Linked DNA regions of Macaca fascicularis. The protein of the gene in region 2 interacts with the protein of the main gene of each other region in a pairwise test. Links are inferred from orthologs where the notes say so. Each region holds a gene or a part of one and is shown on either strand. Other genes may lie near its edges. The genes, in order: FXYD3 and CREB3L1.

Evidence for each region.
Region 1: the proteins of CREB3L1 (region 2) and FXYD3 interact in binary tests that used the Homo sapiens proteins (3 or more experiments, as listed by UniProt). The two-hybrid records come from large-scale screens. The link is inferred for Macaca fascicularis from reciprocal best matches to the Homo sapiens genes CREB3L1 and FXYD3.

What each region holds. Positions count from the first base shown.
Region 1 is NC_088393.1:42,357,570-42,361,868, reverse strand, and holds the start of FXYD3 (FXYD domain-containing ion transport regulator 3), read right to left. Parts: upstream 3,020-4,299; 5' UTR 3,005-3,019; coding exon 2,932-3,004; intron 1,201-2,931; coding exon 1,117-1,200; intron 1,006-1,116; coding exon 952-1,005; intron 1-951. UniProt on the Homo sapiens protein: Associates with and regulates the activity of the sodium/potassium-transporting ATPase (NKA) which transports Na(+) out of the cell and K(+) into the cell.
Region 2 is NC_088388.1:19,579,153-19,583,548, forward strand, and holds the start of CREB3L1 (cyclic AMP-responsive element-binding protein 3-like protein 1), read right to left. Parts: upstream 2,870-4,396; 5' UTR 2,420-2,869; coding exon 2,318-2,419; intron 1-2,317.

The DNA.
Region 1 (4,299 bases), on a different chromosome or scaffold from region 2:
TCAGGAGTTCGAGACCAGCCTGGCCAATATGGTGAAACCTTGTCTCTTCTAAAAATATAAAAGTTAGCCAGGCATGGTGGCACATGCCTGTAATCCCAACTACTTGGGAGGCTGAGGCAGGAGAATCACTTGAACCCGGGAGGTGGAGGTTGCAGTAAGCTGAGTTCATGCCACTGCACTCCAGCCTGGGCAACAGAGCGAGACTCTGTCTCAAAAAAAAAAAAAAAGAAAAGAAAAGAAAAGAAAGAAAGAAAAAAGAGGAAAAGTGTTTGGAAGTTAAAGATGCAGTCGCACCGAGCTGAGCCTTCTACTTGAAGTTTTTGGAAAATTTACAAGAGAACTGGCTGGGCAGTTATCTTATTTCAGTGCTTTGAAGGTGTAATTTCATTGTATTCTAGCTTCCATTATTTATGTTTAATAGTCAATCAAGGCCAGTGCAGTGTGGCTCGTGCCTGTAATCCCAGCACTTTGGAAGGCTGAGGTGGGAGGATCAAACTCAGCCAGAAGTTTGAGATCAGCTTGGGCAATACAGTGAGACCTCGTCTCTGCAAAATATTTAAAAATGAGCTGGGCTTGGTGGTGTGTGCCTAGAGTTCTAGCTGTGTAAGGCTAAGGGAGTAGCATTGCTTGACCCCAGGAGTTCAAGGCTGTAGTGAACTGTGATTGCACCATTGTACTCCAGCATGAGTGACAGAGACTCCCTTTCAAAAAAAAAAAAGAAAGAAAGAGCGAGAGAATGGGGAAGATGGTGACTTTCCAGCTGTGCGAGCCAGCTCTTCTTGTGTATCCCTGGCAATCACTAGTTTGACTTTACTTACCCTCAAGGAGATGCTGTTCTAACATTTACCACCTTCCCTGGGGTGGTAGAAAAGCACAGGAGAGAGACAGAGGCTTGGCAGCCCCCCATCCAGGGGATCCAGAGGAAAAGGCAGTTGGGGGATGGGTACTCACCTACCAGGAACACAAGCAGGCCCAGGGTCACCTTCTGCATGTCAGAGCGCGGGCCTAGAGGGGTGGCAGGAGGTCCGGCCTTAGCAGAGCCACTGGGAGGCTGGCCCTGTGCCTATGGCTCCCCAACCCTCCTCCCCTGCTCCCCAGGCAGGGTGCGCAGTTCACCCAGGGCAAGAAGGCTGACATCTCGCTGGGCTGAGAGATAAGCTGCAGCTGCGCCGTGGAGTGGGGACTGGGTGAAACTCGGGCCTGACGCGGGAGGAGCCATAATAACTCACTGGACATGGACCAGGCTTTCTGTGAATCGCCCCGCAACCAAATGAGGGCACCACTGCCCGCTGTTGTCCTCATTGGACAGATGGGGAAACTGAGGCTCTGGGAGGCGAAACTAGGTGCCCTAGCCAGGAAGCAGGATTTAAGCCAGGCCTGGCTCCCCAGCAGCTGCTCCTAACTAAGGACTGTCAGGGCCTTGGGGTGTTTGGGGAAGCCAGGTGCTGGGAGCCAGGTGGCAGGAGGCCTGCTTCCCGGGGGTGTCTCCATAGACGGCTCAGAGCCTGCCTGGCCCTGCCAGGACATTGCAGACTTCAGGCTGCGGACTGAGCAGGTTCTTCAAGCTGCTCAGGGCGGGGTGTGTGGAGCAATTGACTTGAGGCTGGGACTGGGGGTAGAGGGGGACAAACTCAGCCTGGCTGCAGCCCTAGCTCCATCTCTGTTCCCCAGAACCTCCTGCCCCTCACCCCTCACCCATGCCCTTCCCGGTCCCAGCCCTGACCCTGCCTAGCCTGAGTCCCCAGCCCAGCCCCTGACCCTACCCTAGGCCCCGCAGAGCACTTTCTTTCCCAGGTAGACCTGCTCAGCATAAGGAACTTGTTTCTCTCTCCTTCCTGACCTGGCATCAGTCCTGCCCTCCCAGCCTGCAAGGCTGCACCAAGCCCGGGCCTCCAAGCATGCCCTCCCCTGCCCTGTTCCTGCCCAAATGCTGAGTGCATAGTTATCATAACTGTTTTTATTTTTTCTCTTTTTTTTGAGGCGGAGTTTCACTCTGTCGCCCAGGCTAGAGTGCAATGGCACAATCTCAGCTCACTGCAACTTCTGCCTCCTGGGTTCAAGCAATTCTTCTGCCTCAGCCTCCCGAGTAGCAGAGACTACAGACGTGTGCCACCATGCCTGGCTAATTTTTGTATTTTTGGTAGAGACAGGATTTCACCATGTTGGCCAGGTTGGTCTCGAACTCCTGACCTCAGGTGATCCACCCACCCGGGCCTCCCTAAGTGCTGGGATTACAGGTGTGAGCCACCGCACCTGGTCTAGTTATAATTTTGATAGCGAGAGCTGGTACTTCCTCCACCTTGCCCTGGGGTGCACACTGACCTTGCTGTGTTCTCACTCAACCCCCCAGCAATTTCATGGACAGCAAAAATGCTGAGAGAGGGTGGCGCCACAACCAACGGGTGGTCCCTGCAGGTTGGCACAGACTCCTCCCTCTGCCTACGCACCCCAGGGCCTGGGAATCCTCTCAGCTTCCCAGTTAATTCCACATGCTGAACTCACAATTTTAGTTTGAGCATCCATTTCTTTTCCTTTTTTTTTTTTTTTTTTTTTGTGGGAAGAAAGCCTGAGACTTTGGGGAGCATTACTGAGACCCAGGAAGTGTTTAAGATCCCCAAAAGTGTTGGGGGTCGGGGGACCTGGTGTGGGTGGGTGGGCAGGATGGCATGGTGGATAGGGGCACAGGTTGTAGGTAGACTGCCTGTGGTCTGAAGCTGTCACCCATAACCATATGAGTCCTGATAACAGCAGCAGATGTTTATTGAGTGTCTACCCCACGGGGCATTTCCTTAGCTTCCCACTTATTTGCTCAATCTCTGCAGCTTAATGTAGGGGGCACTATTATTAGCACACATTGCAGTTGTAATCCTGTAACCCCTGCAAATTCATCTTAAAGCCCTATGCTCTGTCGCCGTGGCTGTTGAGTCTCACCTCTTAAGCCTCTTTCCAGGGGCTCCTCCAAGCCACCTCTGGCCTGCAAGGCCCCACTATTCCCCCTTCCCATGATGTCATCCAGCCAAGACTAACAGATGGTATTTGCCTCGCCCCAGCCCCAGCCCCAGCTTCTGCAAAACAATGTCCAGCCCCACGTTTCTGGAGGCTGCAGGGAGCCGGGAGCTGGGTCTGCCCTCACATTCCTGATTCAGGCTATTGCTGAAGAGGCCCTGGACTGCTCCCAGACCAATGTGGTTGGTGGGCAGGTTAGAGAGGAAGGCAGCCCTGCAGCTGATGCTCTGTCTACCTGCCCTGATCCTTCCTGGCCACGAGGTCCCAAGGCCGGCCTGAGGACTGTTTGCCCCACCTGCCCTCTGCTATCCCCTCTATTCCTCCATACTGTAGGAGAAATGTCTCATGTTCAGGGGCGGGCAGAAAGATCCTGCCCGCTCTGTGCTCCTGAAATCTCCCAAGCAACTCCGTATTTACAACTTCCCCAACAGCTCTGTCCTCTTTTCCTGGAGGTTTCCAGAATCCACATCCCTCAGTGCCTGGACACCCCGAGTGCATCTAGCACTCCTCATCCACACAGATGTCCCCAGTCCATCTACGCACACCTGGTCCACTTAGATACCCCTACCTACCCAGGCACCCCCCTCTCTTCCACCCAGATATCCCCAACCCAGATACCCCTAATCCATGCAGACATCAGTCTTCCCAGACACCCCAACCACACTTACCAGTCCTGCCCTCACCCCAGCCAGCTCAACCAGTCCCTGAGAGGAGAATGGTGGGGAAAGGGACATTAGGGGAAGGGACTTTCTCCTATCTCCTGGCTCCAGAAAAACATTTCCAAAGATTTTAGGCTCTTTAACAGCAGAGCTTGTGTGTGGCAGGGTCAGTGGGCAGGTAGATACTCCCTCGTTTAGGGGCAGAGCCAAGGAGGGCTTGGAGGAAGGGGGCCCCAGCTGCTCACCTGTGTGGTTCACCAGGCTGAGCAGAGGTTCCGGGAGAAATCGGGGCTGCAAGGCGGAGTCCTGCCTTTATCCGAAGCTGCCACGCCCTGAGCAAACCTGGGCAGGTAGAAAACAAGTCAGATGCCCTAAGGCCCAGGGGCTCCGTTCCTGCTCTTAAAGAGACAGCTTCACCCCCTCCCCAGCCATCCCAGCCATGGGCAGCACGTTGCTCCCGGGGGTCACCAGGGCCACAGCAGCCTCAGGTGAGACAGAGAATTGGATGGGCTGGAGCTCGGTCCCTGGAATTAAGGGAGGAGCGCTCTCCAATCTTCTGTGCCCAGGAGAAGACCTTGAATGGGGAAGGTTCTGGGGTCTTTAAAAGGCAGAGCCTCCAGGGCCATGCAGGGAA
Region 2 (4,396 bases):
GGAGTCCGAGGTGGGTGGATCATGAGGTCAGGAGATCGAGACCATCCTGGCTAACACGGTGAAACCCCGTCTCTAATAAAAATGCAAAAAAAATTAGCTGAGCGTGGTGGCAGGCGCCTGTAGTCCCAGCTACTTGAGAGGCTGAGGCAGGAGAATGGCGTGAACCCGGGAGGCGGAGTTTGCAGTGAGCCAAGATCTCGCCACTGCACTCCAGCCTGGGCGACAGAGCAAGACTCCATCTCAAAAAATAAATAAATAAATAAATAAAGTCACTTTTCTGAATTCTCCCGCTGGCTGGTGGCAGAAACACAGACAGAATTAAATCTCTTGATTCCCAGCCCAAGAGTCCTTTCTCTCTTTCTTTAGGCACCCCATCTTCTCCCGCTGCCTCTCCTGGCCCTGCCCAGGTGCAAGATCAGGAGCCTCCCCAGCAGGGCTTTTCCTCCCCAGTGTCCCAGTGCTGGATCCCACTGTCTGGTCGTGCCTCCTTTCCTGTGCTGGACCAAGGCCCAGATGAGCAGCTGGGGACACAGGGCTGAATGGAGCAGCAGGAAGAGGCTGCGGGCGGCTGAGTTCATTCAGAAGAAAGCCCAACTCAGAGCTTCCAAGGGCCGAGGGAAGCTTACTGCAGGGCTCTACTGCCTCCCTTGACTTCAAGGGTCTGAGCTCTGACAAACCTCTTTCCCTCTGACTAGTGTCTTTTACCAACCTCAAGAGAAGGTGTGGATCCCCTGATCCCTGCTGCTTTATTCCTGGGATCTGTGCCAGAACCATCTGTAGGAAGACCTGATCCAACATCTCCCCCATTTTACAGACAAAGAAACTGAGGCCCAGGGAGGAGATCCAGTGGTATGGGCCAAGCTCACAGGGGAAGCAGAGCCAGGACTAGAAACCAAGTCTCTCTGCTGTCAATGCAAGCCCTCTCCCCTTGTACCCTTGTTCTGTCTGATGAATTATGCTCTCTCTGCCTGGGACAAGGGGCCTTCCTCAGAGCGCACAGTGACCAGGATGTGCTGTTTAATGGAGAACAGGGAGACCTCAGTCCCCATGCCTCCTTGACTCTGGCTCCTGTCCCTTGGCCTGGCTCCTCACCATCAATCTAGTGGCCTGGGACAGTTTAGGTGGAAGTCCAAGATGCTCAAGTCCTCTAAGGACTTGGCTCTTGCCTGGCCAAGTTTATCTTGGTCCTGGGAGGTAGAGATCAGCAGGTAAAGAGTCTCAAGTGCTTGATCACAGGGTGTGTGTATGTGTGTGTGTGTGGTGTGTACAGGCATGCACATGCAACTGGTGGTTCACTGAAGAGGGGGCTCCCACTAGATTCCCCAACAATCCACATTTCATCTAGGCAGGCCCTTCTGAACCTAAATATTTTCTCCCATTCTAAGCCCATGCCCCTCCCCCATCAAGGCCTTAGGGCTGAGCCTGAGAGAGGGAGGGAGGGAAGAAGAGAGAGAAGCCACGTTTCCTTAGGGAGGGAGGGGAAGAGTGAGAAAGAGGAGAAAGACAAGCTCACAGTCGGACCTAGTCAAGAAGACATAGGGAGAGGGAGAGAGAAAGTCAGCCAGACTCCAGGAACAGAGGGACAGAGCAGAGATCTAGAGGCAGATGGAGAGAAAGGGCTCCCATCCTCCTGAGCCAGCACCCTGTGTTGCCCTGACTGCCTCCCCCCAGCCCCCAGCCTCAGGTCCCTCCCTGGGGGGGGGGTCTCTGGCCCTGATTCCCTGGGGCTGCCATGGTAGCACCCTGAAGTTTCCGGGCCTGACTGAGAACCCGGGTCTGGCTCTGATCCCCGAGGGGCGTCGGGTCTCAGACCCTCAGAACGCTCCCGGGTGCGCCTCCCAGCGGAGGTCCAGCCTAAGAGCCACAGAAGCCCCAGGGGAGGCGCAGGAAAGGGCGCTGCCACTTTGCGCCCAGTCTGGTCCTGGAACCTGGGGTGGGTTGGGACGGCTAGAAGACGTGGGTGGAGGGCGGGATTGGCGTCTCTTGAGCTCAGATCCAAGGATCGGACGGCCCCGATACCTCGATGACCCCTTCCCCTAGAAGGTGGAGGCCAATGTGTTCAAGGATTGCGCCCCCAGGAGGGGCGCGCACTGGCACCAGCTCCGAGGCTTAGGTCAGGCGGGGGTCCAAGGGAGGTGTCGAGGGACCTACTCGTCAAATCTCGGAGCTCCAAACACATGTCGCTCCGGGAGACCCTGCGCTGAACCCTTTCCCCGCTCCTGCCCAGTGATGTGTAGTCGGGTCCTTCTAGGGGCCCAGGCGCGCCGCGAAGAAGGGTGCCGAGGGGTGGAACGGGAACGGAGACCCTTCGTCTTACCGCATTGTTGAGGAAGTCCGACTCGTTCAGATCCCCCAAGTCCAGGAAGCTGGATCCGGGGAACAGCCTGTCGGCCGGGAATGGTTCCAAGACGGCGTCCATCGCGGCCGGCTCCCGGGACCCCCTTCGACTGGGCTTCCCTCACTCCAGGGCGGCGGCGCGCCCAGTCCAGAGCTCCTGCCTGAGCGCTGGCAAGCGGGCGGGGGGCAGGTCCGGGGCGAAGCCCCGGGGGAGGGGCAGACGGAGGCGGCGCGGCCCCGGGTCGGGGGCGCGGGGGGCGCGGGGGCCTTAGGGCAGCGGCTAGGAGCAGGATGGGCTCAGGGGCCCCGGGCGCACTGTGGGCATTCAGCCGACTCCACCTCCTCCTGCTCCTCCTGGGGCACAGCTGGCTTCCATGGGGAGCCCGGGGGTGGGGCTGAGGGCTTGAGGAGCCCCCCGGACAGGGTGGGAGCCGGGGCGGGGGAGCTAAGCGCTCCCCCGAGACTGGGTGGCTGCCGGCCTCTCCGCTGTCTCTGCTTCTCCCTCCGCACCGCTTCTGTCACTTTCCTCTCTGTGAAACCGGGAACCCCTGGCTGGCTACCCCAGCTGGCCAGGGCGCCACGCCCCCACATCAATATTCACAATAATTTAATATTAATGAGAAGAGGGCGTGGCTCGAGGAATCCTCTCTCATTTTTTAAAGAGACATCTGCAACTTCGTCTTCCTTAGTCATCTGTCTTCTCTGAATGCTCAAGGTGGGGGCTTAAAGCAACAATAGTCCTGGAACCGATAACAGTATTCTTGGAACATTGGCATTTTGTTAAGGTTTCACCAACCACTGTCCCGTAAGTTGATGAGAGAGCTATTTCCATCCTTCCAGCCTTATGCTAAAACCTGCACCAAACCCAGTCAGGGAATTCCATTTCACAGTCGCCTCAACAGATTTCCCCTCAACGGGGGAGATTTTCAGCTTTTTAAACAATTTATTTATTTATTTATTATTATTATTTTTTGATATGGAGTTTCGCTCTTTTTGCCCAGGCTGGAGTGCAATGATGTGATCTCGGCTCACTGCAACCTCTGCCTCCCATGTTCAAGCGATTCTTCTGCCTCAGTCTCCCGAGTACCTGGAATTACAGGCACGCCCCACCACACCCAGCTAATTTTTGTATTTTTAGTAGGGACAGGGTTTCACCATGTTGGCCAGGCTGGTCTCGAACTCCCGACCTCAGGTGATCTGCCCAACTTGGCCGCCCAAAGTGCTGGGATCACAGGTGTGAGCCACCACACCTGGCCAATTTTCAGCTTGTAACTCTCATTTCTCATCTCACATGTGTCTTCCTCCAGGAAGCCTTCTCTGAATCCCCAGGCTGGGGCAGTTACCAACGGTATACACCCACAGGGCATCATGTGCTCACCTCTGCTGTTTCCAGTCTAATGTGGTATTGTCTTTGTTTGCTCACGTTGTTTGTGTCTGTGACCCCACTAAGCTGTGAGACTGCTCAGGGCAAGGACTGTCCCCAGCTTCCCTGTGTGTGAAAGGGCTGGGTGAACAGCCAGAGATAGGAGAGAACCCCTCTTCTCCTTGATAGTCAAGTCCCTCCCCATCCCTCAATGGTTCTGAAGAGGAGGAAGTTGGAAAACAGTGGTTCTGGAATCTGAATGAGCCAAGGTGCTTGCTGGCTGCACACTCCACAGTCACCAGACACTCCCGGGGCCCCGGGATCCATTACCTAAGTGACTTGCTCCTGCGTACAAACTTAATATCTCAAAAGGGCTGATAACAATCACCAAGCACCTGAACAAATGGAGGTGGTTCAGAAAGGCACTCCCTCAGAGGGCTGGGCACACTGTTTTCTGACCAGAAGTCATTAATACGATTAAGTGTGTCCTCCCTGTCTGGGACATTTAATTAGCTCAGGAACCAAAAGGCCTTTAAGAAGTAGAGATGTCATTGCAGCTAAGCTATGGATGTCACCAAAATTGCTCTCAGTGCCAGGTGGGAGAAGGGCTCATACCAAGGCTGACACAGCAGTTGTTTGCTTGCCTGGCAGGCGGGCAGGCACGTGGCTTTTCCCCACCTTATGGTCTAGTTGACA